Astyanax mexicanus: one gene and its partners. The protein of the gene in region 3 purifies or fractionates together with the protein of the main gene of each other region. This does not show direct contact. Links are inferred from orthologs where the notes say so. Each region holds a gene or a part of one and is shown on either strand. Other genes may lie near its edges.

Region 1 (7,673 bases), on a different chromosome or scaffold from region 3:
CCATCCACGATTTACCCCAACCAGCCTGGAATTTGGTCATGTGTGCTGGAAAAACTGAATTCCAGTCCTGGACACAAAAACGTCCAGAGCATTACCACATGTCTGTGTATCTGGAAGGACACGTAGAGTGTTCATGAGCTTTTTAAATTAATGCATTTATAAATCCTTATTCCGAAAGATTCCAAGGCTTTGTCATCCTGATGTAATTTTACACGCACCTGATGCTTCATGGAATAAGTCTTTAGAGTTTTAGCTGTTTTTGTAGGTTTGTGTTATACTTGTGTAGATGTAATTCAGGCCTATAAAGGCAGTTTTTTTGTAACGTCTCAACAGAATAACAAATATGGAAATTGCTGGAACATTTTGCAAATAATAGAACCATTTTTGCTATTTATATTGATATTGATATGTTATTAGAAGAAGCATCAAAAAAGGTGTATAAAAGGCAGTATAAAAGTGTTTAGATATATATACAGCCCTGGAAAAAGTAAGAGACCACTTAAAAATGAGGATTTTTATTTTATTTTTACCAACAAGAGGAAGACGGATTATCACAAGCCATCAAACCAAACTGAACAGCTTGAAACTCCTAAAACTTTATAAATATAAGAATTTGTTTTCTTTGTATTTCTTTGCATTTGAGGTCTGAAAGCTCTGTATATTTATTTTTTATATTTCAGACATTTCTCATTTTCTGCAAATAAATGTTCTAAATGACAATTTTTTACATTTGGAATTTGGGAGAAATGTTGTCTTTAGTTTATAGAATAAAACAACAATGCTCATTTTACTTAAACATAAACCTATAAATAGCAAAATCAGATAGAAACTGATTCAAACCCTGAAGTGGTCTCTTATTTTTTCCCCAGATCTGTATATTTGGGAGTGTATAAGGTGCATACAGGTGTATAATAGCACATATTAGAGTTTATAAGCATGTATAAGTGCTTATTAAAGTGAATAAATGTGTAGGAGTTTATAAATATGTATAAAATTGTATAAGCATGTATAAAAAAACATTTAGAAATTTATAAGCATGTACAATGGCTTATAAAAGTATTTCTACTCCTTGAACAGTTTCACATTTTGTCACCTTATAATCACAAATTTAATTTTATTTCGTTGAGATTTTAAGTGATAAGCCAACACAAAATAGCACATAATTGTGAAGTGGAACTCCAAAACACTGGCAGCTGTAATTGCAGTGAAAGATAGGTCTACTAATAACTTTGCATGTCACACTTTTATTATTTTTATTTGAATAAAAATTTGAAAATCATGTATCATTTTCACTCCACTTCACAATCATGTGCTACATTGTGTCTGTCTATCACTTAAATTCTCAATAAAATACATTTAAGCTTGCGGTTGTAAGGTGACAAACTGTGAAAAAGTACAAGGGGTATGAATACTGTATAACATTTTATAAGCATGTATAAGAGTGTATAATAATTTATAGGAGTTTGGAAGAGTGGTGAAAGGATACATGCGGCGCTGTGATGAGGCTCGAACCAGTGTCTCCCTCAGTTGTAAGATGTTCTGTTTCAGCTTCTGCAGCGACGCTCTTAGAGTCATGTTGAGCTGCACAGAAAAAGCATTAACTTAAATTAACCATACGTTAATAACTTTAACTTATATTCATCAGATATAACTACTACCAGTAATATTGGGTAGGACTGTGCACTATGCACTCTACATTCACTGTACAGTATTTTTATAGCCATTTGTATTTTCTTTTTATCATATTGTCCTAGAAATAATTGGATTAAAAAAAATCACTGTCAATGTAAGACCACATTTATGTAATTTATACAATAATGTTATAACATTAAAGCGCTTCTAAAGAGCAGTGTTCTTTTCATTATCAAACATTATTATTATACAAATTTCCAAAAAAATTTAAATGATAGTTATTACAGTTAAAGTTGACATTCATGTTAATTACGGTAACCATTAGCCTGTCAGCCTTAGCCTGACTATGAAGAAATATTCTACAGACCAAATCAGAAAGTTTGTGCACATGCCTCGACTACTGCAATGCCCTGCTAAATGGCCTCCCGGCCTGTGTAGTAAAACCACTCCAAATGATCCAGAATGCAGCAGCACGTCTGGTCTTCAACCAGCCAAAACGGGCACATGTCACCCCGCTGCTCATTGAGCTCCATTGGCTACCAGTTGATGCTCGCATCAAATTCAAAGCTCTTACAATCGCCTACAAGGTGATGACAGAACCGCTCCTTCCTACCTGCACTTGCTCCTGAAGGCTTACGTCACCTCCCGGTCGCTGCGCTCCTCCAACGAATGTCACCTCGCTTTACCAAACAAACATTCACACAAAGTAATCCAGACTGTTCTCATACAGAGTTCCCCAATGGTGGAACAAACTACCTTCTACTACCAGATCAGGAGAATCTCTCACTATCTTTAAGAGACTCCTGAAGACAGAGCTTCCTCTTCAAAGAGCACTTACTCTCCTAACACCTCTAACACACTAACTACTTCTAACCTCATTTCCTTCTTCCCCTCCTTCACTTCTCTATCCCATTATTTCCCTTTGACCTCCTTTAAGCCCCTATCTAAAGATGTTTTACCTTTAAACTTCTATTACTTTGTACTTGACTATTGTAAGTCGCTTTGGACAAAAGCGTCTGCTAAATGTAATTTAATGTAATGTAATGTAATTTAATGTAACATACTGGCTGGCTTCCAGTTTGCATTTAGCAGCTACTTCTCTCTGTCTCAGTTTCTTTATTATGTTATTATCTACTCTATAAATTAGTGAAAATGTTCTGTATTACACTCTGTTGATGAGCGTGACTGGTAAAGTCCTGTTGTATTAGTTTATAGCTCTCATGAGTTCAATGGTTTTTGTGAGGAAACTCTGATTTGTCTAATTCTAATCAATTCTAACATTATTTTGAGGTCATTTCTTTACCTTGGCAGGGTTCCCACCGGTTCTCTGCAGTCTGTTCCGCTCATGGATGTTCTCTGCGATTTCTTGGGCCAGTCGGCAAGTGGCATCATAATTCTGCAACCTGATGAAATAGTGGTTCAAAACAATAGCACTGTTTTCTACACAAAGTAGAACGAGATCAATTAAACAGTTAAATAAAAAAAAACTATTAACAATATTTAATTATACACCTAACCTACAAGTTCTCCTCTACTCCTTTCCTGATGAGTGCCATTTTAATCATTACATTTTTGACGATCTTTGTGACTGCACTTGAGGATATTTTCAAAGTTTTTGGATTGACAGACCTTAAGAAATAAAAATTAAAACATTACATTACATTATATTACTGTGTGGTTAGCTGTACTGACAATTTGACAACTTGAATAAAACGGGCAAATAAAAAGCACACTAAACCTGAATGTGCTTGTCTCAAACATGCTAGGTAGTTACGTAAGTTATCTCTCTGGCTACAGTTATGAAGCTAGATAATTCTAAAAATGCAGTGGAGTTTCCTCTATAGTTTCTGTTTTAGTTCAGTAAAGAAAGCTCGCTGGATTAAAAAGATCCATAAACAGAAACTGTTCTGTTTTTGAGCAAGAAATATCTGGTCGGAGTGTTGAACACGTTCAGAGTTTACGTTATATGGTGTGGTTTGTATGGTAGTGTCTGCACTGCGGTGTTATTAACGCTAATTATCAGCAGACAGTCTGAGTTTAAACTGCAGGACTGCATCATGAGACTGGGATCAGCTGACTGAGAGCTTCTCCCTCTAAACACCAGGACAAAAATCTCTCACACTGATTTGCCGTCTTTACACACCAGTAACCCCAGAGCCCGGATAAGTACAGGTCTCAGGACAGTACGCAGTAAGAAGTTCTCCAGCAGCTTTAGCTATATGTTAATGATTTTAGTTATCTGGTTAGCTGACCTGAGCTAACTCTCTCTACAGCTCGAGCTGCTGCTGATACAGATAACTTATATAGCGCTGTATAAGGAGAACTAAGCGAGGCTGAAGCTCAGACTTACCACAGGTCCTGAGCCATGTTTCATCTGAACTGCGCTGAATTAACCCAGAGTTTTACTGAAAACTCAAAAGCAGAAAAAATCTAACACGAAAATCAAAACAAAGCTACAGCGATCAGCTGCTTCCTGTTTCACTCTGCGACTGAGTACAGAGCGCTGTAAGGGACAAACTGCACTCGGTATTGGAAACGCGAAGCTAATGTTTTTTTATTTACACGGACATTTCTGCACATTTTCTAAAATGTCACCCTTTTAAATTAATTTCAGAGAGGTATATCTCCTCTGGTATAGCTCCATATAAAAAGTAATAATAAATAAATAAATATAAAGAAAATAAATGTTACCTGTGGTTAAATCGCCTACATCCTCAGGTAAAATATCAACATTTCAAAATAGCTTTCCAGGAGGACAGCTAGTTTCACGGAACTTATTTCAGGGCTCGTCCCCATTTGTTAAGTTATATAAATACTAAATAAGTACTCTAATATAAGATTTACATCCTAGTAATAAAGGCTACAATATATAAATACTTCATAGTTGTTTAGTTTTCGTATAAAAGTCTATAAAGCTAGCTAGAAATGCTCTACAATTGTCTTCTGTCTTTTCAATCAGTATTTTACTGTTTTCTAGTTGTTTCTACTGCTCCCCTGTCTCATAAACTATTCTCTTAATCCATTACCTCTGTAAATTAATTACATTATTTTACATTTATCAAACCTTCACTATCATGCTAAATGTTTTATAACCTTTTAGGAGAAACAAAAACCTTGTTGCTACCAACTTTGAATGGAAGTTAATGTAATTAAAATACTACATACTAAAATACATTTTATACAATTTAAGTCATTTTGGAGCATTTTTATACAGCACAAAGAAAAATGACTAAATTCACATTATGAAGAAATGTGTATTAACAAAAACAATATTGTAATCAAACCTTTCCTAAATTCACATCCGCACATTTAACCCTAAGTTTATTGTATACAGTTGTACAGTTAATATTTTTTAAAAAGGGTTAATCTTTTTTAAAAGCCCAGCAGAAACTTATCCAATCTGTTGTTTTTTTTTGTCTGTGGTGTTTAGTCAGCCAAATTGTTGACACAGTCAGCTTGTTGATTTTTAAATATTATATTCACAGCCATGTCATATTAATGTGTAAAGTTCCACAGGACCAGTATATTGGACTATTTCATGCTTCTGTATTATAAATGTAATACTTATACTACTCTAATACAAGAAAACACATAATATGTTATAAAGGCACATCAAGGGACCACTTTTAGATGGAGTCCAAGGACATGGTTAACATAATTTTTTCCATGGGTATAAAAAAATACAAACAAATTTTATTTTCTTAAATGAATTGTAATGATAACTAACTTGAGACAATATCTCAGATAATCCTTCCCCAAAAGCAGGAAAACCCTTGACATTTTCCTGTCACGTCCTTTCTAGTAAAAATAATATATATATATATATACATTTTACACTTATTTACTTATTTTACCAAATTAGGAGAATAATCCAAATACAAAATTTATAATGAAATAAAAAGGTTTTAACTTATACCAAACATAAGAATGTAAACAATGATAATAAGTTCTCAATTAATAAACCTCATTAATGATAATTTCTTAATCAATGATAATCATAAAAAGTAGAATGTCTTCAATGCCGAACCAAGATATTCACAGGTTAGACCTTTCTAAAGTATCCAGGCTTTATACAATACAATGTATTAATCAAAGTTGATATCATATGAAGATTTTTAAACTTTTTTTGTCATCTGACAAAACGTGATTTATGTGACTGACACTAAGTAACATGACTGGAAGACATCATAAAGCCCCACATTTAAGGCCAAAAGCTGTCTATATTTTGTTTCAAGAATAAAAACACGTGTTGGAATAAGAAGTCATGTGAGATGCTGTACATTTGTTTGCTTGCTTGTTTATTTGTTTGTTTTTTGTAAGTGCAATACCTCACAAATATGTTGCAGTGTTATTTTTTTTGTAATGTTGATTGTGGAAACATAACTTCAGACATTATAGAGGAGAATATTTATATTAATATTTATATTAATATTAATATGACTTCTTTGGCATAGAAAGATATTACTCTCTAATATTAGTTTCATAAGCTCATGTAGGTTATTCTAAATTCTCCTTTAAACTTCTCTAAACTCTGTAACTCTTTTTCTAAAGCTGTCAGACTCTTCCACATTTATCTAAACTCTTCTAACTCACTCTAGAGTCTTCTAAACTCTTGCAAACCTTTCTGTTCTTTATGTAAGTAGTGCTATAACAGCCATGCTTCAGGTTTCCCCAGGTAGTGAATTTACTCGTTTTGGTCTGGTGGATTTGGAGCGAGGGAACGATGCAGGTGCCGCTCCTCTGGCTGGCTGTCGGAGACTTCGCTCCTGTTCCCTTTTTGTTCCTGAGGGTTCTGGAAGGATTGACTTAAACTTCAGCAGACCCAGGTCCAGATCCTTCTACATGTGTGAACCTGATGACAGCAGTGAGTCCAGGTCTGAAGGGACCAGTACTGGAAGATCTTTCTCCCTGCAGACAGACTTGGAGAAGAAAGATGACAGCCACACCAAACTGGCACCCAAGAGATCCAAGGCATGCACACATAAACACCTCAAAAAAGACCACACAGGTAAGAGTGACTTCATTTGAAAACAGTATTTATGCAGTATTCAATTTAAAGTGTGTAATGGGGGAAGGATTGGGGTGTAGGTTGGTTTATCATTACATTCTTTGTTAATGAGGTTTTTTAGATATTTTGTTAACTAGATTTACAGCAACAATACATTATGGCAAGGTTTTCAGAGACTGTACTGATTACTCTTCATAATATTATTTTTGTTTTGCTTTTTGTTGTGGTGATTCATGTACACTAAGTCTACGTTCACATTACAAGCCACATTCCTCAAATCCGATTTTTTGTCTATCTTGACGCTTTACATTCACAAGTGTAAGTGATCTGTATCTGTGTGTAATGTGAACAAATCTGTCCCAGAAACATCTAACATGCACACACTGATACTTTTAAAACATTGCCTTCTTCATCAACAACAAAAATGTCATATTTGAGAGACGACTTGTACCTTTATAGAGGTGAAATGGATGTGTTAGCAGCTCATATGTGGAGCATCTTTTGCTCGAGTGGAGAGCAAACAACTAGTCTGAAGTACATGCTCAGCTCGAGGCGGTGAAAAAAGGCCAGGCGGTTTGCTTTTGCTGGCACAAGAAATATGAGAGGGTATAAGAGAGAAGCACGTAGTACATGCGTAAAAGCAAAAAGACGCATGAATTCTGATTTGACAGTTCACATTCATGTCTCATATCAATGGATCGAATTCGTATCTAATTTAGGACCACGTATGGAAATGGCTCAACTCTGATTTGAAAAAGTCAGATTTGGCACATTCACACAGCCATGAAAAAATTAGATCTGAGCCACATTCAGCAAAAAATCAGATTTGAGTAACTTCAGCCTGGTAATGTAAACATTCCCATTCCAGTTTCCCAGGTTTAGGCATAGTCAAAGACTATATTTTTCTGTAAACTGAAAATCTCCTATTAAAATACTGGGCAATCATAAACTAAATTTTATTTTAGATTTTATATTTAATGCCTGTTGATATCGCCTGCCCCTCTTGTCAGACCAAGTGTGGGAACTCTGTGCA
Region 2 (7,695 bases), on a different chromosome or scaffold from region 3:
GCAAAGAACCCAATCCCAATGCAGAAGGAGGAGTCCCAAAGGTTAATACCAAGCAGGCGATGTTTAATTTGCATTACATTCTTTAAGAATTCTATAAGAACTCATACCAACCCATTTATGACTTAAACCAAATAGCTTTATTAAAAAGGAGGGAAAGGAAAAAAAAAAAAAAAAGAAAAACAAACACACATTTAATACTTGTGCACTGTGTACGGTCAATCGTGCAAAATCCTCATTTCCAAAACAAAAACTTTACAGCAGTGAAAAAGATTTTAACTTTCATTGAAAGTCAATGTAAAAACACCAGATTCACAAAGGACAAAGAAATGCGACAAAAACAAGATACTAAAACATGTTTTTGCATTACCCAGCGCTACAGACCGAAAACCACACCTCGCTAACAGGGTAACGGACTGAACCCCAAAACCCACAACCAACGCGCCAGACTAAACGCCAAACCCCGCAACCAGCGCACCAGACTAAACGCCAAACCCCGCAACCAGCGCACCAGAATAAATCCCAAACCCCGCAACCAGCGCGCCAGACTAAACGCCAAACCCCGCAACCAACGCGCCAGACTAAACGCCAAACCCCGCAACCAGCGCACCAGAATAAACCCCAAACCCCGCAACCAGCGCGCCAGACTAAACGCCAAACCCCGCAACCAACGCGCCAGACTAAACGCCAAACCCCGCAACCAGCGCACCAGACTAAACCCCAAACCCCGCAACCAGCGCGCCAGACTAAACGCCAAACCCCGCAACCAGCGCGCCAGACTAAACGCCAAACCCCGCAACCAGCGCGCCAGAATAAACCCCAAACCCCGCAGCCAGCGCGCCAGAATAAACCCCAAACCTCGCAACCAGCGCGCCAGAATAAACCCCAAACCCCGCAACCAGCACGCCAGACTAAACGCCAAACCCCGCAACCAGCGCGCCAGAATAAACCCCAAACCCCGCAGCCAGCGCGCCAGACTAAACCCCAAACCCCGCAGCCAGCGCGCCAGACTAAACCCCAAACCCCGCAGCCAGCGCGCCAGACTAAACCCCAAACCCCGCAGCCAGCGCGCCAGACTAAACCCCAAACCCCGCAGCCAGCGCGCCAGACTAAACCCCAAACCCCATAACCAGCGCACCAGACTAAACCCCAAACCCCGCAACCAGCGCACCAGAATAAACCCCAAACCCCGTAACCAGCGCACCAGAATAAACCCCAAACCCCGTAACCAGCGCACCAGACTAAACCCCAAACCCCGCAACCAGCACACCAGACTAAACCCCAAACCCTGCAACCAGCGCACCAGACTAAACTCCAAACCCCGCAACCAGCGCGCCAGAATAAACCCCAAACCTCGCAACCAGCGCTCCAGAATAAACCCCAAACCCCGCAACCAGTGCGCCAGAATAAACCCCAAACCTCGCAACCAGCGCTCCAGAATAAACCCCAAACCCCGCAACCAGTGCGCCAGAATAAACCCCAAACCCCGCACCCCGCAACCAGTGCGCCAGAATAAACCCCAAACTCTGCAACCAGCTCTCCAGTCTAAACCCCAAACGCTGCAACCAGCGCGCCAGACTAAACCCCAAACCCCGCAACCAGCGCACCAGACTAAACCCCAAACCCCGCAACCAGCGCGCCAGACTAAACCCCAAACCCTGCAACCAGTGCGCCAGAATAAACCCCAAACCCTGCAACCAGCGCTCCAGAATAAACCCCAAACCCCGCAACCAGTGCGCCAGAATAAACCCCAAACTCTGCAACCAGCTCTCCAGTCTAAACCCCAAACCCTGCAACCAGCTCTCCAGACTAAACCCCAAACCCTGCAACCAGCTCTCCAGACTAAACCCCAAACCCTGTAACCCACACAATAGACAAAAAGGTTAGTTAGCTGCAATAGGTAATGTATTTATATTAAATAAATAATCCTCTGAAACCATTTGACAGGTGACATTTAGGGGTCTGATTTGAAGGGTCTGATTTTTACCAAAGAAAAACGTTCGTCAGAAAACGGGCTTTTTGTGATTAATCTGAATCAAATTGGATTCGTCTAAACCTGACAAGAGTTTTATCGATAAACAGATAATAAATGTGAACATTTATCTTCACAATAAAAAGGGGCTACATACATGACAGCTAAGCTAACCCCTCAGACCCTCAGCTACAGACAGCAGTTAGAGAGCTAGCTTAGCATCTACAGCTAACCCATTTAAAAACACCTCTCTAGAGACAGATAAAAAAATCAAAAAGTCTTGAAGCTATAAGAAGGGACCGATACGTGAACATAAAGAGGTGCAATTTTTCAAAAGCACAAAATCTCTTCTTTTGGAATTAAATAAATAATAAAATAATGAAAACCTTACCTAGCTAAGCTAACGGCTAGTTAGCATAAACAGCTAGCCCTTCTTGCTAGAGATCAGCTCTGGCGCTAACGCTCAACTCAAACAGGCGCTCAGGCTGAAAAAATTACACATTAACCGGATAAATCACCAAAAAATCCATATATTTCCCCTCAGCCTGCAGAGAGAAGCCGCTTCTCCTCAGTTTAACCGGATCAGAGAGAGATAGAGATAGAGGGAGGGGGAGGGAGAGGGAGAGAGAGATAGAGAGAGAGAGAGAGAGAGAGAGAGAGAGAGAGAGAGAGAGAGAGAGAGAGAGAGAGAGAGAGAGAGAGAGAGAGAGAGAGAGAGAGAGAGAGAGAGAGAGAGAATGGACCTCAGTACAGTTTAACCGGATCCGCGCTGAAATAACACAACAAAGCCCCCGCGCGCCCCCCGGCAGCCGAGCCTCCCGCTCCCCGCGCACACTCCGCCACTAAATCCCGTAACTCCTCACCGAACAGCAGCTCCTGATTTTAATAAAAATCTACCTGATTAGAGGAGCTGCAGTCCAGTCTCTTCTCCACCAGCTCCCCGATCCTCCTCTCCGCTTCAAAATGGCGCCAATTTGTCCGCTGGCTGCACCAATCCAGCGGCCCCTTCACCTCACACAGCCCGGGCCAACAGCGCCACATGCAGGACGCGGCGGGAACTGACACACCAAAACACCCAGAACAAAACTAAACCCCTGCAGACTCAACTAAACCCCTTCAGGCTAAAATAAACCCTGCAGACTACAACTAAACCCTGCAGACTAAAACTAAACCCTGCAGACTAAAACTAAACCCCTCAGACTAAAACTAAACCCCTTCAGACTAAAACTAATCATAAACCATTCAGACTAAAACTAAACCCTTCAAAATAAATAAATCAGACAGGAACATTCATTATAAATTCAGATTTAAAGATCCAGACTCAGACTAAATGATTCCTTCAGAATATAATATAACCATCAGACTAAAACTGTCAGACTAAAACTCTCAAACTCAACACTTAGAATTAAACCGTCGACATAAACCCTTCAGTCTAAAATCCTCAGGCTAAACTCTTCAGATTAAAATCATCACATTTAAACCCCTCAGACTAAAACCTTCAGGCTCTCTCTCCGGCGTTTGTCCTTAGACTTATATAAACATATATAAGTCCCTTACAACAGGACCAACAGACTAAATGCTTCAGACTAAGCAATTCAGACTAAGACCTGTTAGAATACAACTCTCAAACTAAACCCCAAATCCATTGACCAAAGCAACAGACTAAACCCCCTAGACTAAAACCCCAATCCCTGCTGCCAAAACAACAGTTTTAAATCCAAAACCTGCAGAAATTAACACAACCAACTAATCCCAAATCCTACCACCAGGGTAATAGAAATGTATTTAGTATTATAATTATTATATGATGTAATTTTATAATTTCTGTTCTCATCTTTATATGTAAGCTGTAGGCAGTAAAGGCAGCTGTGTTACAGGTGATACAGGTACCGATTACAAACCCAATCTTACCTCCAAGGTTTCGCTTCTCTGAAATGTAATCTAATAAAGACTCTACTAAGGGACATCCATGGGGACACTCGTTTAGAACAGGGAGACAGAACTGAGTGTACGAGACATCTAGTACCTGTAAATGACTTTATCCTCACGAAAGCATTTGGCTAAAATTTTACCTGAGAGTTTATTTTTTTTCCTTTCAAACAAAAGTGTTAAAACATCCACGTTTTACAACAAAAAGAAAACAGCAGTGAATGTAGCCATTGGTTTATAAAGTCAGTGTAAAAGGACAAAGTGTATGGTATCAGTTTTTTATTACAGTCAGTAATTAAACTGGACATTATGGACATTTCTTCATTAATCAATATAAAGACAGTGGACAGAAATACAAAATCACAAAGCTTTGTGTGTACACAAATTTCCAAAAATAAAGACCTGAACTGAGCATAATTCAAAATGTCATACAAATTTAAACATTATTTACAGAAGTTTAAAAACACAAATACATGTCTACTGACTAAATAACAAAAAAAGCTTGTTCCAAAGTTCAAGTAAAAAATATATATTTATTATTTTCTTTGTCTGATAAAAGATTTAAAAGTTATCATATTTTCTCTGTCCATAGGGTTTGGAAAGGCGCTCTTTGCTTTTATGAGGAGGCTCACAGGAGTTCATCACGATGTCCACACTGATAGGCAGCTCAAATCGATCCAGCATCTTTGCTATAGTGTCCCGTGGGACCCTATGTGTATTCCTCCTTTTGAAATGAATCAAACACATTAAATGTATTACTCATTATCTGTGTCCATAATATTAATTAAGGCCAGCATGCTCCAAAATTAATTACAAATATTGTTCCCCTATTTTTATGCTTTAAAATAGTTTGACATGCAACATAACAGGAGGGTTAAGTGGCTGGGAACAAAAGAACATGATTAAACACATTCTTTAGAAGAAAAGTCCAAAAATATTTTGACATAAAGTGAAGAATAAGTAACAACAACACAATATCCTACTTTAATTTTGATCAAAAACATTCTGAAATCAGGTTCACTTTTGTCACTAAACCACTAAACATTGTCTGAGATATTTTATAGATAAACACATTCATAAGAGAGATTTGGGTTGGTTTAGGAGGGTGCTGGGAATCTTTATCAATCAGAAAGTTTACATTAAGATTCTTTATGCCTATAAATGGGTCACATGCAACCAAAATTGTTTTTTCTAGGGCAATGATGCACAAACCCTTTTTTAGCATCTTTATTTTTAGGAGTGGAGTGGGCTTTTATGCTCCCAAACTTTTAAGAGGACATGCAAAGAAAATTTACTTGGCACATACATATTGGGTGCCCACAAGACCAACAGTCAGAGCCTTCCCTGGGATACTCAGGTCTACATAATGCACAGACTTACTTTTCTAACTCAGTGGGATCACATTTCCATCGTGTGTCAGGCTCAACAAAATCTACTCGATATCCACACTCCAAAGCCTGCAAAAAAATAAAATAGCACATACAAAACAGTCATAAACATTACCATACTGAAACAGGAATAATAAACACTGTTTATTTGAAAATTCTACAGACATACAGGTATAAACACAGTTATATTTCATATTTCAGGAAACCTATAGGATAGCCTGGCATTTTTTCTGATAACTTACCAATGTAACATAGGGCTTCATTTCCCAGGCCTGAACGTTTGTGTTGTCAATAATAACAGGTGAACGTCTGTCCAACATAGCATCTCTTGCTGAAAAAAAAAAACAGAATATACGGCTAGCTATGAAGCTGAAAATGTAAGAATATTCAGTACAGAGCAAAGCTTTAAAAACAAAAACATAAACACTTTTGAATATCTCATTCTAATACAGACTGCAATCTAATCCAAGTAACCAGTTACACCAGCTGAAGGTACGTTAAATTGTAGGTTACGATAAAAAATATCCTTAAAACACACTCAATGCAGTGAGTTCTAAACTAGTAGATTTAGGGTACGTCTAAATTAGTACTGCATGAACTGACTACATTTTAACATGACGATGTAGCCAAACTGTTTAAATTCTCTCCCATATAGAGCACATTATGTATATATGGAAAATCTGATGTTTAAAAAAATATGGTCAGTTGGTCAGTGTGTGTTTTTCACTGACAATATCCACGATATGCTCAGAAATATTACCATTCAATATTTTCACACTGTTCACCTGTATTTGTGAGAGCTCCATTTCTTTCTTGTGTTTCATATCTCATGTTAAAAAAGGGTCTCCGCAATATGTAATTCATGTTTTTATGTGATAACTTCTGTAGAAATAAGTAATACCTCTCTTTTGATTCCAGTCATGTGCATTCCCAAGTAAAGTAGGGTCAAAGAAGTAGCTGTCCTCTTGGAAGAAGTAATCATCAGTGCTCAGTATTAGACCATCAGGACCACAGGACAATATTTCTCTTTAAAGAAAATACAATAGTCAATAGTGTTTTGAAGGGAAAAGAAAGGGATGATGTAAAAGAAGGTTAAATGTGCGGAATTCTTAGTTAATGTAAAATAGGATGTTAATCACAGCAAAATTCTATATAATATATTACAAAAATGTATGGTATTATATATATATCGGTGTGATATTGTAAATAAAATGGATTTTCCATTTAAAATAATGCATTAATACAAGGGCCACCAATTTTACCCACAAAGAGGCTGGTGTGACTGATGATTTTTATTCAAATCAAAAGTACACCTCAACTAATTGAGCATTTGAAGCCAACAGATTATACAACTGTAATCAGGTGTGCTTCTGACTGATTGTACAGCCGCTCTGAAAACTCACTTTGCCAGAGTTGATTTCCCACAGCCTGGAAGTCCTCTCATCAAAATCAAAACCGGAGACGTGCCACTGTTACGCTGGTACTGATCTCGCTCGTGATAATGCTGTGTCTTATAATATGGCTGCCAGTCAGCTGAACCTCTTCCTCGCTGTTCAAATGACTCAGGGCAGTTTGATGCAGAAAGTCTGATGTCATTACGAAGAGGAAAATTGGTCCTTTCCCAGGAGCACCAGCTGTTGGTGTCATGGTGACTGTAGTTGTTAATAGGAGGCAGGAGATGCAGAGGTGGTGTAGGAGTCTGAGGTATAGGTGGGGGTGGAGGTAAGAAATGACGGCGGCCAGGAATTGGAAATCGTGGTGGGTCATGTGGAAGCCTTGGTGGTGGAAGATGTTGCCACTGACTTGGATGGCTGTTTGCTGCATCAGGACCGTTCCATGTAATTTCGTTATGTGGTTGAGGCTTCCATGTCCTAGAATTTTCATAGTCTCTTTGAGGTCGAGTAGCTGGATAAGGCCTATACGCACTCTTGTGATCATTTTCCCGAGTCTCTTTTCTGGGAGATGGATTGGTTTCTGGTTCACATAACCGAGAAAGACCTTCTGTGACTACTAATTCTCCATCAACTCCATCAACTTTGTCATGGTGGTCAAACTCCTCAAGCTCTTTGTAAAAATCACTCAGTTCCTTCTCTATTGCTGCGTCGGGTCGACACGCCGGGCCGATGAAAGCAGTGCTGCTGACAGCGATTTCTTTAATGACTTCTTCTCTGCTCCTCTCATAGCTACGTTCTTCTGCATCAACCCCTGAGATTTCCTCTTCACATATATTATCTTTTAAGATTTGTGCTGGTAATTCTAATAAATTCTGATTCACCTCCACAACATTGGCACTGTCCAATATGTTCAGCTGTCCGAGAAGTACAGGATAAGGTAAAGGCCTAGTGCGGTTAGCGTTGCCCACTGAATTATTCCTGTAGGTTACTGCATGTGGTGTATGCATCCGCTGTA
Region 3 (8,156 bases):
GGCTAGCGGAGGTAGGCGTTCCGTCACAAACCCTGGAGATATCAGCCAGTAGTATTCGCTGAGAGAGGCGACCCTGACCCCGCCCCAAACTGTCAAAACCACCCCTTTCAAAACTCGAGCGCAAAAGCCTCGCTCGAGCAAAAACAAAAGCTGCAGGTAATTTGCACAGCGCGTGAGGAGAACTGTGAATTTGAGAGGAAAATAAATAAACAACCAAGAGGAGAAAAACTATATTCTGAGAGAGATATTCTGTTCAGCGCGCACACAAGCGTGTTTGTTTGGTTTGGTTTCACACAGGCTTAAACCTAAACTCACCAAAGAACCCGCACCAATAAACCACGCAAGCACATTGTCTCCTCTGATTGGTCAGAGTACAGATGTAAAAGTAGTAAATGGAGTTGCACAGCTGCGAGCAGTGAACGCTGCACTTACTGTGTGTGTGTAAACAGCATAAAGCTGCAGGGACTGCATTTGTTTATAGCTGTAGTAATTAGTGTTATAATCTGGCTAATACATATAAATTATTTATTTGTACATATTTATTTACAGTCATTTAAATAAATATGTATTTAAATGACTGTATTTGATAGCTGTGTTGGATTGAGACCAGATCACGTTATCACCACAAGCGATCCACACTAGAGTGCAACTAATGTGTTCACACCTCAATCAAACAACACTAAGGGTACAAACCATAGACTGTGTATAGCTGGACAGAGCATCGTCTCTCAAAAGTGAAGCCACCACAGGTCGGGCGCCCCCTGCTGTTCGGTTTCAGAAAGCTGTGTAACCTCACCCATCCCCATAGGTTTCAATGGCAAAACAGACAACTTTCAATCACGTTTTTTTTCTTATATACTGTATTTCTACCTCCATTATTTAAATGCAACAGCTATAGTAATGGGAATGGGAATGGCGACACGGCGTCCATCTTTTTTACAGTCTCTGGTACAAACGAACCAGAGTTCCTTATAACTGGACAAAATAGTGCTGGTGTGAAAACGCTCTAATAGCGGAATAAGATTCTGATCTGGTACTGCCCAATGTTCTTAATGGTTCTTACCTACAAGTTCTCCTATCATGAACAAGAAGTACAGCACAGCGGCCAGTGCTAGCTTTCTCATCACACGGCTCTGCTTATGTCGCTCTTTCCTCCGTGCACAGCTCTCGCACGCTTCAGCGGCGGTGACCCCGGGGCTGCCCGAGCCTGAGGACAGGCCCAGCAGAGAGTCATCATCATCGTCCCCATTGGTGAGGAAGGTGTTGACTGTGGTGCCATTGGAGGACGCCGCCGTGTAGTCCTCCATTTCTCCAGAGACCACCACCTTCAGCCGGTTGAACCGGGGACTGTCCTCCTCCGCCAGCTCCTCGTCCAGGGGGGTCGTCGCACTCCAGTCCCGGTCCGACCGCTCCCGGCGCAGCGCTGAGCGCATGCGGGACAGTAAGTCCATCCCAGACATAGTGCTGGAAATGAGCTGCTCGACAACGTGGAGAAATGCGTGTATAAACGAGTGTGTGTATAATTACGAAAGACAGCTGTTAAATCAGTCCGTCAGGTTCGGCCCGGAGTGTTGTCGTTGAGGGGAGGCTGCAGCGGTCAGGTGATCTCTCAGGATCCTCAGGTTTACTCTGCATAACGTCATCATCTTACATCACCTGCAGTTACAAACAATACGTTATAATAAACAATAATAATAACAGCAATTATAGTAATAACAGCAATGACAGCAATATATACAGAGGACTGTGTCCCTTTACTAAACAACAACACTTTCCCTTCAAGCTCTGCGTTGTAGCTTTTTTACACTATCCAAAAAAAAAGAAGGGATCTTTAATTGTTCTGGAAAGAACCAGATCAAGTCAAATAATCAAATATTATTTAATATAATATAATATTAAATACACTGGTTATTAACTGTTTATTTAACTCTTAACTTTTTATTTCACTCAGCTGTGTTGGTTCAGCTCCTGGGCTGCTTTAGTTCTGTTGCCTTTTAAAAAGTAGTTTTAATTTCACTCCAAAATCACCTAGAAAATCTCTTAACACTTCTCAGTTCCTGTTCTGAAAGATGCTGGATGGATTAAAAATGCGGTTCTCGTGGGGAACCCCAGTGTTTTTAACAGGACCTGATTAACACACTCAGATCAACATCATTTGTATCTACTCCCACCTCTCTGTTTCACTTTTCTCTTTTACTCTCTTTCTTTTACCCTCTCTCTCTCACTTGCTCTTTTACTCTTTCCTTTTTCTGGACAGCAGTAGGTGAAGAAATAAAGTATTTCTTTCCTAAACTATGATTTAAAAAAAACTCATATGACAATTATATCTTTAATCGCAAAACATTTTGGAACTATATACTGTTCAAAAACAATTTTTATCGTGCTAGACCTAGTATTTTTCTTACTCTATAACTCTGCCTCTCTCTCTCTTTCACACTCCCTCTCTGTTTTATTCTATTTTACTCTCTCCTTTACTTCTTCTCTCTGCCTCTTTCTCTCTGTTTTCCTTTCTCTCTTTCTTTGTACCTCTCTTTCTCTTACTCTCTACCTCTGTCTTTCTCTCTATTATTCTCTACCTCTCTCATACTTTCTACTTGTATCTCCTTTACTCTCTCTTTTACTGTCTTTCTCTCTCTTACCCTCAACCTGTCTCTCTCCTTTACTCTCTCTTTCACTCTCTATCTGTCTCTCTCCCTTTCCTCTACTCTATTTCTCTATCTTACCCTCTAGGTTACCTGTCTCTCTTTCCTTTACTCTCTACCTGTCCCGCCTTTCTTTAAGCTATCTATTTTACTGTCTACCTGTCTCTTTCTCTTTTACTCTACCCCTGTATCCGTCTCTCTCTCTCTCAGGCCGTGTCTCTCTGAAACACAAACAAACTCACCGTCTTCCTCCGTCTCTCTCCCAGCCGAGTCGTTAATTGTCCATTTTCCTCACAGACACTCTCTCTCACTCTGTCTCACTCTCTTTCTCACACGCGTGTATGTAGTGAGACCGCAGCATTAGTGTTAGTAGTGTCAGTGTCAGTATGTCTCTCTCTCTCCTCCGCTGCTGCTGCTGCTGCCGTCCCTCTCTCTCTCTGCTGTCGCTCAGAAGCTGTGAAGTGAGACACAGTCGCTGGAAAGTCACCTGACTGCTCTGCCAAAATAAAAGTCACCATAAACTCTAAACAAAGAAAATAATGATGTATTATTATTATTATTTTATTTTATTTTATTTTATTTTATTTTAATAATATAATAAAAACACATATGAGTGTATATATATATATATATATATATATATATATATATATATATATATATATATATATATATATATATATATGCTGAAAAATAAGGGACATATATGGAATTACGTAGTAAACAGAAAAAAAATGTAGTCCTCCACAATCTGAGATCTAGGATGAGCTGGAGCTTCACAGCGCGAAGGAAAAGCAGCAACTATTGTTCAGCACCTCCAGGAACTCCTTTTAAGACGCTGAGGAAACTATTCCAGGTGAATTTCCTTTTATTAAAATATCGAGAGTGTGCAGATCTGTCCTTAAATATAAATGTGATTCTTAGAAGAAACTACAGTATAAAACGTATGCTGGTTTGTTTAATATTTTTTCTTTACAGAATAATTTGGCATGTGTTCCTGTAAAGCTTTAATACAGTATTTAATATTAGATTTAAACTGTAAAAAATTAAGAAAACACACAGAATGAATAAATGTAATTAATACAGTTTTCATTAAATAAAAGGAGACTTTTATTTTGACAGGCTGTGATTTGGCGCAGGCGCGCTGCTGTCGCTGCTGTTGCTGGTCTCAGTAAGATGTCACATGATGTTTTGAAGGTCTGATCAGTTCAGGAAGAAATATCTGGGGTTTTAAGTCTCAGAAATGATTAAAGGTAAATATAAAGCTTTTATATACCCGGGATTAACAGCAGGCTGATGCACAGGCGAGGTTTAGAGGTTTAGACATGCGGTTGGGTTTAAAGTGCGGGTTTAATAGGATAGACTCTGATCATGATGAGATCAGATTAGATTAGATTAGTTAAACAGGACACTGTCATCTATTATATACTGATAGATTTCTTTGGGTACACGTGACCTGACCTGTGTAAAATAGAACACGTGGTGTTACAGATAGCAGCCGGTTTTTTAAAGAGGCACTAAACTCTAAATCATATTTTTTCCATTAATAGCTGAAATGTGTTCCTTTGAAGTAATAAGACATACATGTCCTACTTAAAATTTGCAGCTCAGCCAATCAGCACTCCCTCCTGTCCTGCCTCTAAACCCATACATCACCCAGTGCCCCCTCTTAAACTACCTCTCCCATTATTAAGACTTTTTCAAATTTGAGCTGAGGGTGGTGCCAGCTAAAATCAGGGCGTTTAGTACCCCTTTAAAGGTCCAGTGTTATTTTTAGAGGTGGGTATTCCTGGTAGTTATGCATGGTGATATCGGAATTATATCAGTATCAAAAGATAATTGCTAAGGTTCGGTCAAAGTTTCAAACTAATACTTGCTGATGTATATATAACTAATTGATGCTGTTCACCCTACTACACTTGTCCAACACTGGCTGTGCTATGTTAAAATTAATTTATAATTTTTATTTCTTTTAATATATCTATTGCTTTTATTTATCCCAGTAATTTAAAAAGAGAGTTTTAAAAAAGGATTTAAAGCTGTGAGCAGTCTATGTAAGCTCCAGTTAGCTTAATAAATGAAATATACATTTCTCAGGAGAAAACTTTGATTTTATTTTTTGTATACAACTAATTGGGCGCTAAATTTTAATGTATATAAAGGTTACATTTGTTTCAAAAGGTTTCAGTTGCTTCCCTTAATAATCTGAATTTGTTAGAGTAAAGGCAGTTTTTTATAGTGGTACATACACTCAACAGCCACTTTATTAGGTACACCCTGCTAGTACCAGGTTGGGCCCAACAAGCTACTGGAAACATTCCTTAGAGATTCTGCTCCATATTAACATGAGAGCATCACACAGTTACTGCAGATTTATCAGCTGCACATCCATGATGAGAATCTCCCGTTCCACCACATCCCAAAGCTGCTCTACTGGACTGAGATCTGGAGACTGTGGAGGAGATTCCAGTACAGTACAGAACTCTCAGTAAATAGTTTGGGCTGTAATTATGGCTTACAGCCAATAAAAACCCATAAATCTGTGTATAAGAAAAATTCAATATTATATAAGACCAATTGGTACGTTTGGCAGTGTGGGCAGTGTGCCAAATCCTGCTGGAAAATGAAATCCGAATCTCCATAAAAGTTGTCAGCAGAGGAAATTATGAAGTGCTTTGTGTTACTCTGTGTGTACATCTATATAATATATGAGTTTCACATTTTGAACTGAATTACTGAAATAAAGAAACATTTTAATGATATTCTAAATATTTGAGATGGTAGTATATTGATTGTGCTAAATATTAATTAAGATAAAATACTGATTAATTCATTAAAAATTGAGAATAACATAATATACTTTAAGGCAAAACGTATAGATAAACAGTTGCTTTAGTAAAGGTCAGTTTTCAGTAGGGGTGTCTCGATTCTCTAAATCCTCGATTCGATTTTAATTCCGATTTTAGGGTCATGATTCGATTCGATTCTCGATTTTCTTTTCCTTTTTTTTTTTTACAGCAGAGAGGCCTATGCCAGTTTTAGATTAGTCTATGGTCAGTCATTGGTTTGATTCATCAAATTTACAATATCTTAATTTAAAAGGTGGGCTTGATATAAGTGATGCAAAGTGATACAAGTGATCTGTAATACACCACATTAGGCACTAATGGTCAAATTTAAATAATTTAATTAAGATATATATGTAATGCCATCTAGTGGCTTTTTTTGGTATCAACAGTGTGCACTATTACAGCAATGTGCAACATAACAAAATAAATAATAAAATAATGCAGGAACAGTCATGTACAAAATAATAGAACAATTAGAGCCTTAACAAACTGAACGCTATCCTACTATAACAGTTAAACAGAAAAAAACATTTTTTTCTTTAATAAAGATATTTTTATATTTTCAAGTTTTTCTTTCAAAAGATGAGGATGTCCACATTCTCTGGAGAAAGGGCTGCTCTTTGACAGTCGGCTAAAGTGTGCTGCGCCGTTTGCGTAGCGTGCTGCCCCATTGAAAAGATATAAAGTAAAAAAAAAAAGAGATGAGAAACACACTTTTCTCATGTGTGGACTGTTTAACTGTGTTTTATGTTAGTAACCAGTTACCGTAGATTAATAGTTTTTTGAAATATGGCACATTACCCTTTATTTTATCTTTTAGGGTTGCTACGATAAAAGCTTTTAGTCCTAATGGAGCATAAAGCTGGAGATGCAGACTGGCCCATCCCTCAAGGGGCGGAGCCTCCAACTAACACAGGTCAGTCAACCTCTGATTTATTCTGAGTATTAATATATAAACTAGTCAGATTAATGAATACTTGTAATTATAATAATAACAGCATATGTAATAATTTTATAATTTATCAGTAATTGAATTTACAGCAGTTTAACCTATATAATAGATGTTCAATTTCAACTACATGTGTTTTTACATTCATGACACAGAGCTACTTATGAGAGTTTACACTTAAGATTATGTTAGTAAATTTAGGAATATTTATATGTATATGTATATATACATATATACAAAATATCAGAAAAAAAAATCTTAATCATTTATATTAGTCCATTCATAAGGACAGTTTTTCACAGTATAAACAATCAAATGATGAAAAAAATGGAGATACAAGGTCTATGCAGGACAATAACGATATTCATATAGTCAGCTCCATCCTTACACATTCACATGTATTTACTTTAAGGTTAAAATCTGGTTCACAATAATTAAACTCCAGTGTGTAGTGTTTTGAGAGGGCTCTGCTATGTGGTGTTTATGCAGAGAGGGCGGGGCCAGGCTCGGAGGCGGGGCCAGAGGCTGAGGAGGCTGAAGCTGGATCTGGGTCTGAACTTCAGGCTGGACCTGTGGAGGACCTGCTGATCGTAGATAAAGAGTCTGTGGAGAAACTAACCGAGGGGCTGATCTCCCACTACCTTCCCCAACTACACACCTCTAAACACGCCCTGCAGGAGCTAACGTAATGCGCACACACACACACACACACACACACACATATATTACATTTCTTTTTGACACAATGTAAAGAACAACTGCCAGATTCAGAAAGTGTCAAAATTAAAAAAGACAAAGCATTTCATCTAGGGCTGGACCCGAATATTCGGGTATTCGGATATTCGTTCGTTGAGTAGGTATTCGGTTTTTAATTTTGGTATTCGGATATTCGTTTTTTTTCTCCTTTCCAGAGTTCCACCTCACTCTAACCACTTCTGTTTTCGCGGGTCCCGTCAGAATATCTTGCGCGCGGTACAGAACTGAACTGTTATTGGCTGGAGCGGGAGTTTAATCCAGACGATGCGGGAGCAAATTAATAAATAGTTAAGAAAACTGTAATAATTGTAAAAAAAAAAAACCTAAAGAAAACTCTCAACGCGCAGGATGGACCGACACACACACGCACACACCGATGGTCTTTGGACTGGGGTAAGGAACGGCGCTGCTGTTTTAATAAATATATAAGTAAATTTGAAGCATTAAATGTAGTTTGTTTAATTTATATTAGGAACGTGGGGCGGGAGCGGCAGAAATGTGTATGTGGCGGGCGGGCGCGGGATTAAAAGAAGCTATTTTTTTGCGGAGCGGTAACGAGACAGAAACGCGGAGCGTGGAAGAGTGGGTTTAAAAATCAGTCTCGCGCAGACCTCTATTATACATGATAAAAAAAATGCAGGCTCTTCGAAACTGATTTATATAATAAAACGTAAGGGGTAATGTGGCAACAGTAGGGGCTAAATCGGTTACAAAAGCCTGGCCTACAAAAATGATGTCTGAACGAATTTCCTCTTATCTAATATAATTTAAAATGGTTTAAAAATATAAAATAATTTCTAAGCAAACGAAATATTTAATATTGAGCTTATAGCCCAAGTGCAAAAATACAAAATCAGTAATACGGCTATGCCCTGCACAATCCTTAAACCGAAATAGACCAAGTACAATAACGTCATTAACAATGACTTTCCTCTACTCTAACATAATTTAACATGGTTT
Region 4 (7,490 bases), on a different chromosome or scaffold from region 3:
ATCCTCGATTCAATTTTATTTCCGATTTTAGGGTCACGATTCGATTCGATTCTCTATTTTCTTTTTTTTTTTACAGCAGAGAGGCCTATGCCAGTTTTAGATTAGTCTATGGTCATTCATTGGTTTGATTCATTAAATTTACAATATCTTATTTCAAAAGGTGGGCTTGATATAAGTGATGCAAGTGAGACAAGTGATCTGTAATACACTACATTAGGCACTAATGGTCAAATTTAAATAATTTAATTAAGATACATTTGTAATGCCATCTAGTGGCATTCTTTCTCTCACAGTTAAAATGTACCTACAATAAAAGTTACAGACCTCTCCATTCCTTGAAAGTGGGAAAACTTGCAAAATCAACAGTGAATCAACACTTATTTTCCTCACTGTAAATGAGTAGGTGACATGGACATTGGTAGGTAGAACGATAGGAGTTTTTACTTGTAAAACAACAGACTCCTCTGGGGTGGCTCTGTTCCAGTGGACGATGGCAGCCAGTGTTCCAACAATGCTGTAACTGCTGTGAAGGGCCTCTTTGCTCTCATCATCAGACGCTACCAAGAAAGAAAAAGGCATTTTTTATGGCTGTCAAAACAAGGCCCTGAATTTGCAGTGGTAACTTTCAAGGAAATGGGAAATTTATCATAACATTTCATATAATTTTAACTTCATGTTATTAATATAAGTAAACTCTGGGCCTTTACAGATAGATGACGTGAGTAAGTACCAAGCTGTGACAGCAGAGAGAGGATGGCCCCAGTAAGGGCATGGCTGGTGTTTGGATCTCCGGCTACTTCCAACAGGCCACTCAAACACTCGCTGGGAAGCACCTGACCAGATGTTAAGAGTCTAGAGCACTTCAGGCCTGACACATCCTGCAGAAAGAAAAGACAGACCTTTATGTAAAATTCAAATGTGCATGCGTGCAATTTTCACACGCCAATTATGGGGAATGAAATCAAACACTTTGTGTTACAGTTTGCTTGAAATTAAAGGAAATTTCCCACAAAATTATTCTAACTTCTCCGACACAGATTGTTTGCCCTGCTTCATTATATTACTCCAATTTGTTGCACATAGGCAGAGGGTTCATTATTAATATCACAACATGCTAAATCATTGACTTTGGCATTTCTGGTGACATTTGGTTTACACTTATATACAACAACTTTAGAAGGTGCTCTTATCTAGGGTTATAATAGTGCTTTGTTGTGAAAATATCTTTCACTAGTTTGTAGAGGCGTCAAAAGAAAAATCAAGTTTATGCACTGATAAATACATAAGTCTGTATGTATACCTTAATATTCTTGATTGCGATTTGGAAAAAAACTGCATAATTTACATTAACGTTCAAACTTTTGTTAGATACAGTAAGCAGACCCCTTCAACCTTACATGCAGCTTTTATATTAAATACGGTGCAAAAATAACAGGCTTGTATTTCAGTTAATAAAAAGTGTAAAATATGAAAATCCCTGCCACATAAAAGAGTTTGTTACAGGTTTCTGACAGAAGCAAATGTTTATCCACTGAGAATCCCTCATATTTTGAGAATCACATTAAAACAGTAACTCAATCAAATAAATTAGATTAACCTCCCAGCCCTACAGTTCCTGTATTTTTAAATATTGCACTATACTTTATCACGTCTGTTTTTCTTAATATTGTGCAGCACTAATGCTCACTTATTATTTTTTTTTCCGTATTATTATTTTGATATTGATTTAAACTTGTGTCTGATTTGTAAAAAGGAGCTTTTGAACAATGCCTCTTTTAAATACTTAAAGATTGAGTATTTTAGGTCCATTCACAGTGTTTATGGAACTATTTAAAAAGGAAGCAGTGTTAAAATTGTTGACATACCTCTTTCTAAGGTCTATTGTTTACATGCTTCAGATCATGCTAATGAAGTCTAATTTCTTCATATATTGTGTAATTTTGTGAGACAAAATAAACCCAATAGTAAGCAGAGCCTTAGTGTTTTATATTACATTTTATATTACAGTAGAGTAAGTCACAAATCTTTATTATAATGGAGATATTTGGAGTGTATTATTAGAATATGTAGCATCATTAGTAACTGTTAGATGTAAAATAACTAATTAAACACTAATGTTACAATATTATTAATGACTTATGAGACAGATAGCAATACGGATAATAAACCCCTTATAAAACAAAACACTAAGTCGTACACTCAGAGTTGTTTTGGCATTTGCTTCAAACGTGAGACAGACATATATATATGTATATATATAAATATATATTGGGCTAGTTTAAGCTTCTAAAGATCAGATTTTAGACTGACTTTGGGCTGGATATTTTTGTTGGACCTGGCAACCCTGGCTATCTACTCTGGGTCACCTCAGGGGCTCAGACTGTAAGTTTGACTCACCTCGATCTGTTTCTGCAGCTGTGATGAACTCAGGGTGCTTTTGTTGTTTTTGTACTGCCGAATCGCCAGAAGCAGAGACTTCAGACACGTAGTCACGTCCATTCTGGGGGTTAAATAAGTTAAATAGCCGATAAATTATGAAAATAACCGGCGGAGGCGACTCTATTAAAGCAGTAAACACTAGTAAACAAAAGCCACAGAAGCACAGAACTCGATTTCGCTCAGTTAGCTTAGCTTAGCCTCTAGTGTAACGGACTGTCTCAGCGCTGTTTCTCCTTCATGCTGAGGCGGAAAACTAACTAAACTACACCCAAACAGCGTGTCTGTTTTCCGCCCCACGTAACACAGAGCCCGCGAACATACAGATACAGTTATATACATATATGTATAACTATATTTATTGTATTTAGTCCTAACAGGGTTCTGTGTCCTCCTCTCGGCCTGACTCCCGCTTTCCACTTCAAACCCCTGGGCGAGTCCATGTCCTACGGAGGGGGAGCTGTGTGGACCTGTGGGAAATACAGTGAGCACTGAAAACGCGTAGTTTTAGTTTAACACAAACTTGAATTATTTAGATTAAGTTTTAGTACTATATGGTGCTGTTATTTGAACAAACCTTTAAGTTTTTGAGGTGTTTAATACATAAACCTAAAAACATAAAATACATAAATCCCCCCCTACCAAAATCAATTCCACGCAGTGACGTTGTTACGTATCGCACGTTTGCTACGCCTCCACTAAGCACGCTGTGTCCGCATTTAAAATCCCTCCATACACCCTACTCCCTATATAGTGAACTAGCTATCCACCCTATTCTAACCATACACTAGAAGACTTTGAAAAGACTTTAAAAATACTTTTAATAGACTAAAGTCTGACACTATGATTTAGATTCATGAGACTCATAACTTTTGTCCCCATCAACATTTTTTTTCTGCCACACTGTTAGTTCTTGATATTTTTATAATAGATTATATTTTGTGTTCAAATCTCTTGTAAACTTATTCTTCCATATTTTTTGCTATAACCTTGTATAGCAAAGAATAACTGCTATCCATTTGCCTTAGTTTTAGATAGAATTAATGAAATGAAGAACATTCTTGCAAAATGTGTATTTAATAAACGTTGTTTGTATAAAAAAATAACACCGCTCAATAAGAAAAAGTACTAGTGCAAAATAAAATAACTTTAAATATAATGATTGTTGATGAAGTGCTACCTGTGTTTAAAATGCTGTATATATTAAAGTAAGGACCATATATATTTTTCAAATCGTTCAAATATATTTTTGCTTTGTGGCTTTTCGTAGCTCTCCTATTGGTTGTTGACATTGTTCACACCCTATTTGCGTGAGCCAAGTCTCAAGACGTACAATAATATTAAACACGGTTGATTTTATCTGAACGGAGGATGAGAAAAAGGCTGACTAAAACTTTCAATCCTAAACACATTTCAACAACACTGAGCGATCAAGATGACGCGAGCGCAACTCGACTGCCACTCAACTCTAGCCAGCCTGATTTTATTCCAACACTGAAAATTTGTCTTCGAGAGCCATGTCTATTGTTATAGTCGAAATTTAACACATTCAACCAGTGGTGGGATAAGATGGATATCATGCAAAAATGTTTTTTACACCCATAAAAGTGAACTGACTGATGCACAGTTAGTCGTGTAGCATATATCACAATTCTAAATTTGAATTATGAGATAATCTGGGAGAAAAAAGTGGGCGGTCCATTTAACCAAGCATTCTATGTGTTGTGTCAGAACTCACCCACCCTTTACCCTAGAGAAAGACCAGTTTGAGAACTCAGTATGAGTATGTGTTAATTGCATACAACAACATGAAAAGTAAGGGATTCACACATAACCTTGACATGTAGCCTAATGGAAGCCAATTTCTACCATAAAGAGGAAAAATGAGCCCCAATATTTTATGCTTGTCCAAAGTTTAAGGAAGCAGTATGTGAAAACAATTGTGATGATGAGCTATTTTTTTTACATATATTCTTTTTTTGTATAATTTGTTTCTAAGTTTACTCCCTTTTCCAGCCAGTTTGAAAGGCCAATACCATTGTTTATCACTAGCAATCCCACCAACATACAAGCAGCACACAGCAGCACATTATGAGTGATATTGTGAGGAAATGTCATCAACCTACCCCTGAGAGGGCAAGGCCAATGATGCCTTCTTTGACTTTTTTGGTAACTTTAAATTTTGATATATAGATAGAGTAATTGCTAGTTCCAAAATATTGTATCCAAAAAGATTTCTTTCCATCTGAAACTCAAAATCCAGAGATATAACTGTTTTGAGAAACAAAAAAACAAGATATTAAATACTGTATATTCACACTTTGCTCCTCTATCTGACTGAATAAACTGCCACATTATACTACAATATACAACTCTGCTGTATTATCAGTAGATTAAATGTATGCTATTAAAAAATGTACGCTGTCAAAGTAAAACATTACCTATTTAAGACACTCATGCAAAACTATTGTCCTACACAAGGCAGCAAAACTGCCAGTTTATCTCTTCATTAAAGTGAAGTGACATGCTTGACAGGGTGCATAGAGGACAGGCTCGTCTGTACGTATGAGGAGTTTTTAGGCTACCTGTTGCAACAAATAGAAACACAAACGGAAGGACAGAGGAAGCGTTGTGGTTTTTTTTTTACAGAACCTGTAAATGGAAGGCAGCTTTATTAAGTACCTCCATCTTAAACACAAAGGTTTAAAGAGGTCATTGAATTACATTGACTGATATTTAACCATAATTGTTAAAGTAAAGAAACTAGGAAAGTAACTTGTTGGGACTCATTCAATACATAGCCCAGAGACTGCACTGTAAAACATTACAGCCACATTAAGTTATGTGAACTTATTTGTTCTTTTCAATTCCAATTGCCATGACAAGTTTAGTATATTGAACTCAAGTTCCTTCGTTTTACATAAAAATAACTTAAAATAACATATTGTCTTAACTTCCTGTGAGTTATTCAAATTTACCCAAGTTTATTCAACTTACGTTTTTAAGTTATTGGTTAAAAAAAATGAAAGTGTGAAGATTTGAAAATGCAGAGAGGTAGAGTGATAGGCAGCAAGACTCCAAGACTGGAGTACTTTTTACAACTTTAAAACCGTGGGCGCATTGGGCTAAACACTTTTTAACCGACGCATAGCAGTTAATAATAACAAGGAGCAAAAAACTAAAGGGGATTACTTTCAGCTGCGTGAGTCACCAACACTCCAAAAAGTAATTCTGTGTTTTAGTCAGAAAAACTAATGTTATTAAGTTGAGTGAACTCACCGGCCAGTACAACTCCATTGTTTTCAACCGGAAAACTTAAAAAGGTTTGTTGAGCCAATGAAAAAATGTGATTTCAACCAACTTTTAGCTCTTTCTACAGTGTTGGTTCATGCAGCTTTCCTATTGGTTCCTGGTACCATATATCTGCATATTGGGTGTAGCCGCTCCCTTACTTACCATCTTTGTGTTGTCTGTTGCCCAAAGCTACCTTATTCTGGGCGTTGTTGTAGAAAAGAAAATGAGGTGGGTTAACCCCCACCTCTCGTCCGGGGTACAACTCCCCTACGTGTTCATTTGATAGAGAGTCGTAGACAGGTGGAGTGAAGTTGAAAGCAAACCAAGTATTTATTACTGAATTCAGGAGAACCAATACATACAAGACAGTTAACAGACGTCCCAGTAAAAGTTCTGTCCCCCCTCTGATCTGACTCCATGTGTCACGTCTGGTGCTGTTAGCTCCTCTGTCCCTTCCACACCAAGCTCTAACGGAGGTTCTCAGGTTAACAACTACACTACCCAGAATGTATATTGTTTTTATCAGTATCTGCGCTTGTCTGCTATTCTGTTCTGACCATGACACCATGTTTATACCCCAAATGACGTGAAACCTGCTGATGAGGCGTTGCTAAAATCATCTCATGTTAGTATGCATATTTTCACGTGTTAGTGTTCAAGTTTCACAGGTCTGTCCGGACCACTAGTGTTTGGCCTTGATTGTATCCAGCCGGACAGTGTGGTATTATTTTAAGAATTGACTGGGTCCAGTCAGACAGTGTGATATTGTTCCAGTAATTAGACAGTGCCGCCCTCCCTATGTGCGCGCGTCCTCCCGCTTTGGTAGGTGAAGAACTTTGCACGCACAGAGAGAAAGGCCGCACTGTTCGTCCCGAAGCCTCCTTTGTATCAATTTAGTTCATCCAGAGTGCACTAGCTGATGATTGATGGCCGTTAGTCAGAGACATGCAGTAAACGAAATGCTTCAAGCATGAGCTACACACGTCACACAATAGATCTCATATGTTATATGTTAATGTGTTAGTGGCGCGTGGTTAGACCGCCATATAATAGGTCCTATGTGTTAGTAAACGCCTTATGTATCATGTGGGTTAATTTGTCATAATAAGGTCGGTGTTAGTCACATGCCTGATCAAACAATGTTTTACTATATATGTAAAGAATATATTGTGATTATTGGTTAATATTCTATATAAATGCGTGTAAAATACACTGTGAGTAAAAATGATCAAATGTAAGGTGAGTATTGGTTAATGCATATAAAATACAAGGTTTCACACAATGATTATGTAATTATAGATACTAAGATAAGTAATCATAACTGAAAGATATTTGTCAATACACCCAAAGTGTAATAAACATTTACTCTTCAGCGTGCACTAATTATAATATATACGTTGATTGCCAGGTCAATATTTGCATATTGGGTGTGGTCTCTCCCTTACTTACCATCTTTGTGTTGTCTGTTGTACAAAGCTACCTGATCCTGGGCGTGCAGTAATATAATATATGTGTTGATTGCCAGGCCTCAGTGTTGTAGGCTGTAAAAGCACATTAACTTTGTTGTGTTTGTAGTGATCACAGTATGCTGGATTTGAGCTACAGAGTTCACTCTTTACTGAGTTTCCTCTTATTCTGCCCCAGCAATATACTGTCAGTATTGGCAGTTAAATAATAATGTTAAAAATGTTTCTAATACTTATGGTTAACTTAAAATAATAAGTTGTGTGAATATTACTGAAGTTTTACTAACTTGAAAG

Evidence for each region.
Region 1: the proteins of slc30a4 (region 3) and stx8 purify together in Homo sapiens (co-immunoprecipitation; 3 studies listed by BioGRID and IntAct, with this or other methods). This does not show direct contact. The link is inferred for Astyanax mexicanus from reciprocal best matches to the Homo sapiens genes SLC30A4 and STX8.
Region 2: the proteins of slc30a4 (region 3) and pds5b purify together in Homo sapiens (affinity purification with mass spectrometry; 3 studies listed by BioGRID and IntAct, counting the BioPlex papers as one, with this or other methods). This does not show direct contact. The link is inferred for Astyanax mexicanus from reciprocal best matches to the Homo sapiens genes SLC30A4 and PDS5B.
Region 4: the proteins of slc30a4 (region 3) and cip2a purify together in Homo sapiens (affinity purification with mass spectrometry; 3 studies listed by BioGRID and IntAct, counting the BioPlex papers as one, with this or other methods). This does not show direct contact. The link is inferred for Astyanax mexicanus from reciprocal best matches to the Homo sapiens genes SLC30A4 and CIP2A.

The regions. Positions count from the first base shown.
Region 1 is NC_064412.1:26,665,974-26,673,646, forward strand, and holds the start of stx8 (syntaxin-8), read right to left. Parts: upstream 3,204-7,673; 5' UTR 3,198-3,203; coding exon 3,154-3,197; intron 3,036-3,153; coding exon 2,936-3,035; intron 1,582-2,935; coding exon 1,487-1,581; intron 1-1,486. UniProt on the Homo sapiens protein: Vesicle trafficking protein that functions in the early secretory pathway, possibly by mediating retrograde transport from cis-Golgi membranes to the ER.
Region 2 is NC_064425.1:46,070,772-46,078,466, forward strand, and holds the start of pds5b (sister chromatid cohesion protein PDS5 homolog B), read right to left. Parts: upstream 3,009-7,695; 5' UTR 2,867-3,008; intron 2,520-2,866; exon of another isoform or gene 2,361-2,519; intron 1-2,360. Other genes in the region: n4bp2l2 (NEDD4-binding protein 2-like 2), read right to left, coding at 4,460-4,622, 5,279-5,355, 5,529-5,617, 6,188-6,312, 6,690-7,695. UniProt on the Homo sapiens protein: Regulator of sister chromatid cohesion in mitosis which may stabilize cohesin complex association with chromatin. May couple sister chromatid cohesion during mitosis to DNA replication.
Region 3 is NC_064416.1:44,423,085-44,431,240, forward strand, and holds the start of slc30a4 (zinc transporter 4), read right to left. Parts: upstream 3,091-8,156; 5' UTR 2,885-3,090; intron 1,657-2,884; 5' UTR 1,461-1,656; coding exon 1,064-1,460; intron 1-1,063. Other genes in the region: bloc1s6 (biogenesis of lysosome-related organelles complex 1 subunit 6), read left to right, coding at 6,341-6,407, 6,930-7,125. UniProt on the Homo sapiens protein: Probable proton-coupled zinc ion antiporter mediating zinc import from cytoplasm potentially into the endocytic compartment. Controls zinc deposition in milk.
Region 4 is NC_064408.1:99,719,232-99,726,721, reverse strand, and holds the start of cip2a (protein CIP2A), read right to left. Parts: upstream 3,086-7,490; 5' UTR 3,014-3,085; intron 2,907-3,013; 5' UTR 2,880-2,906; coding exon 2,815-2,879; intron 2,501-2,814; coding exon 2,398-2,500; intron 879-2,397; coding exon 731-878; intron 558-730; coding exon 445-557; intron 1-444.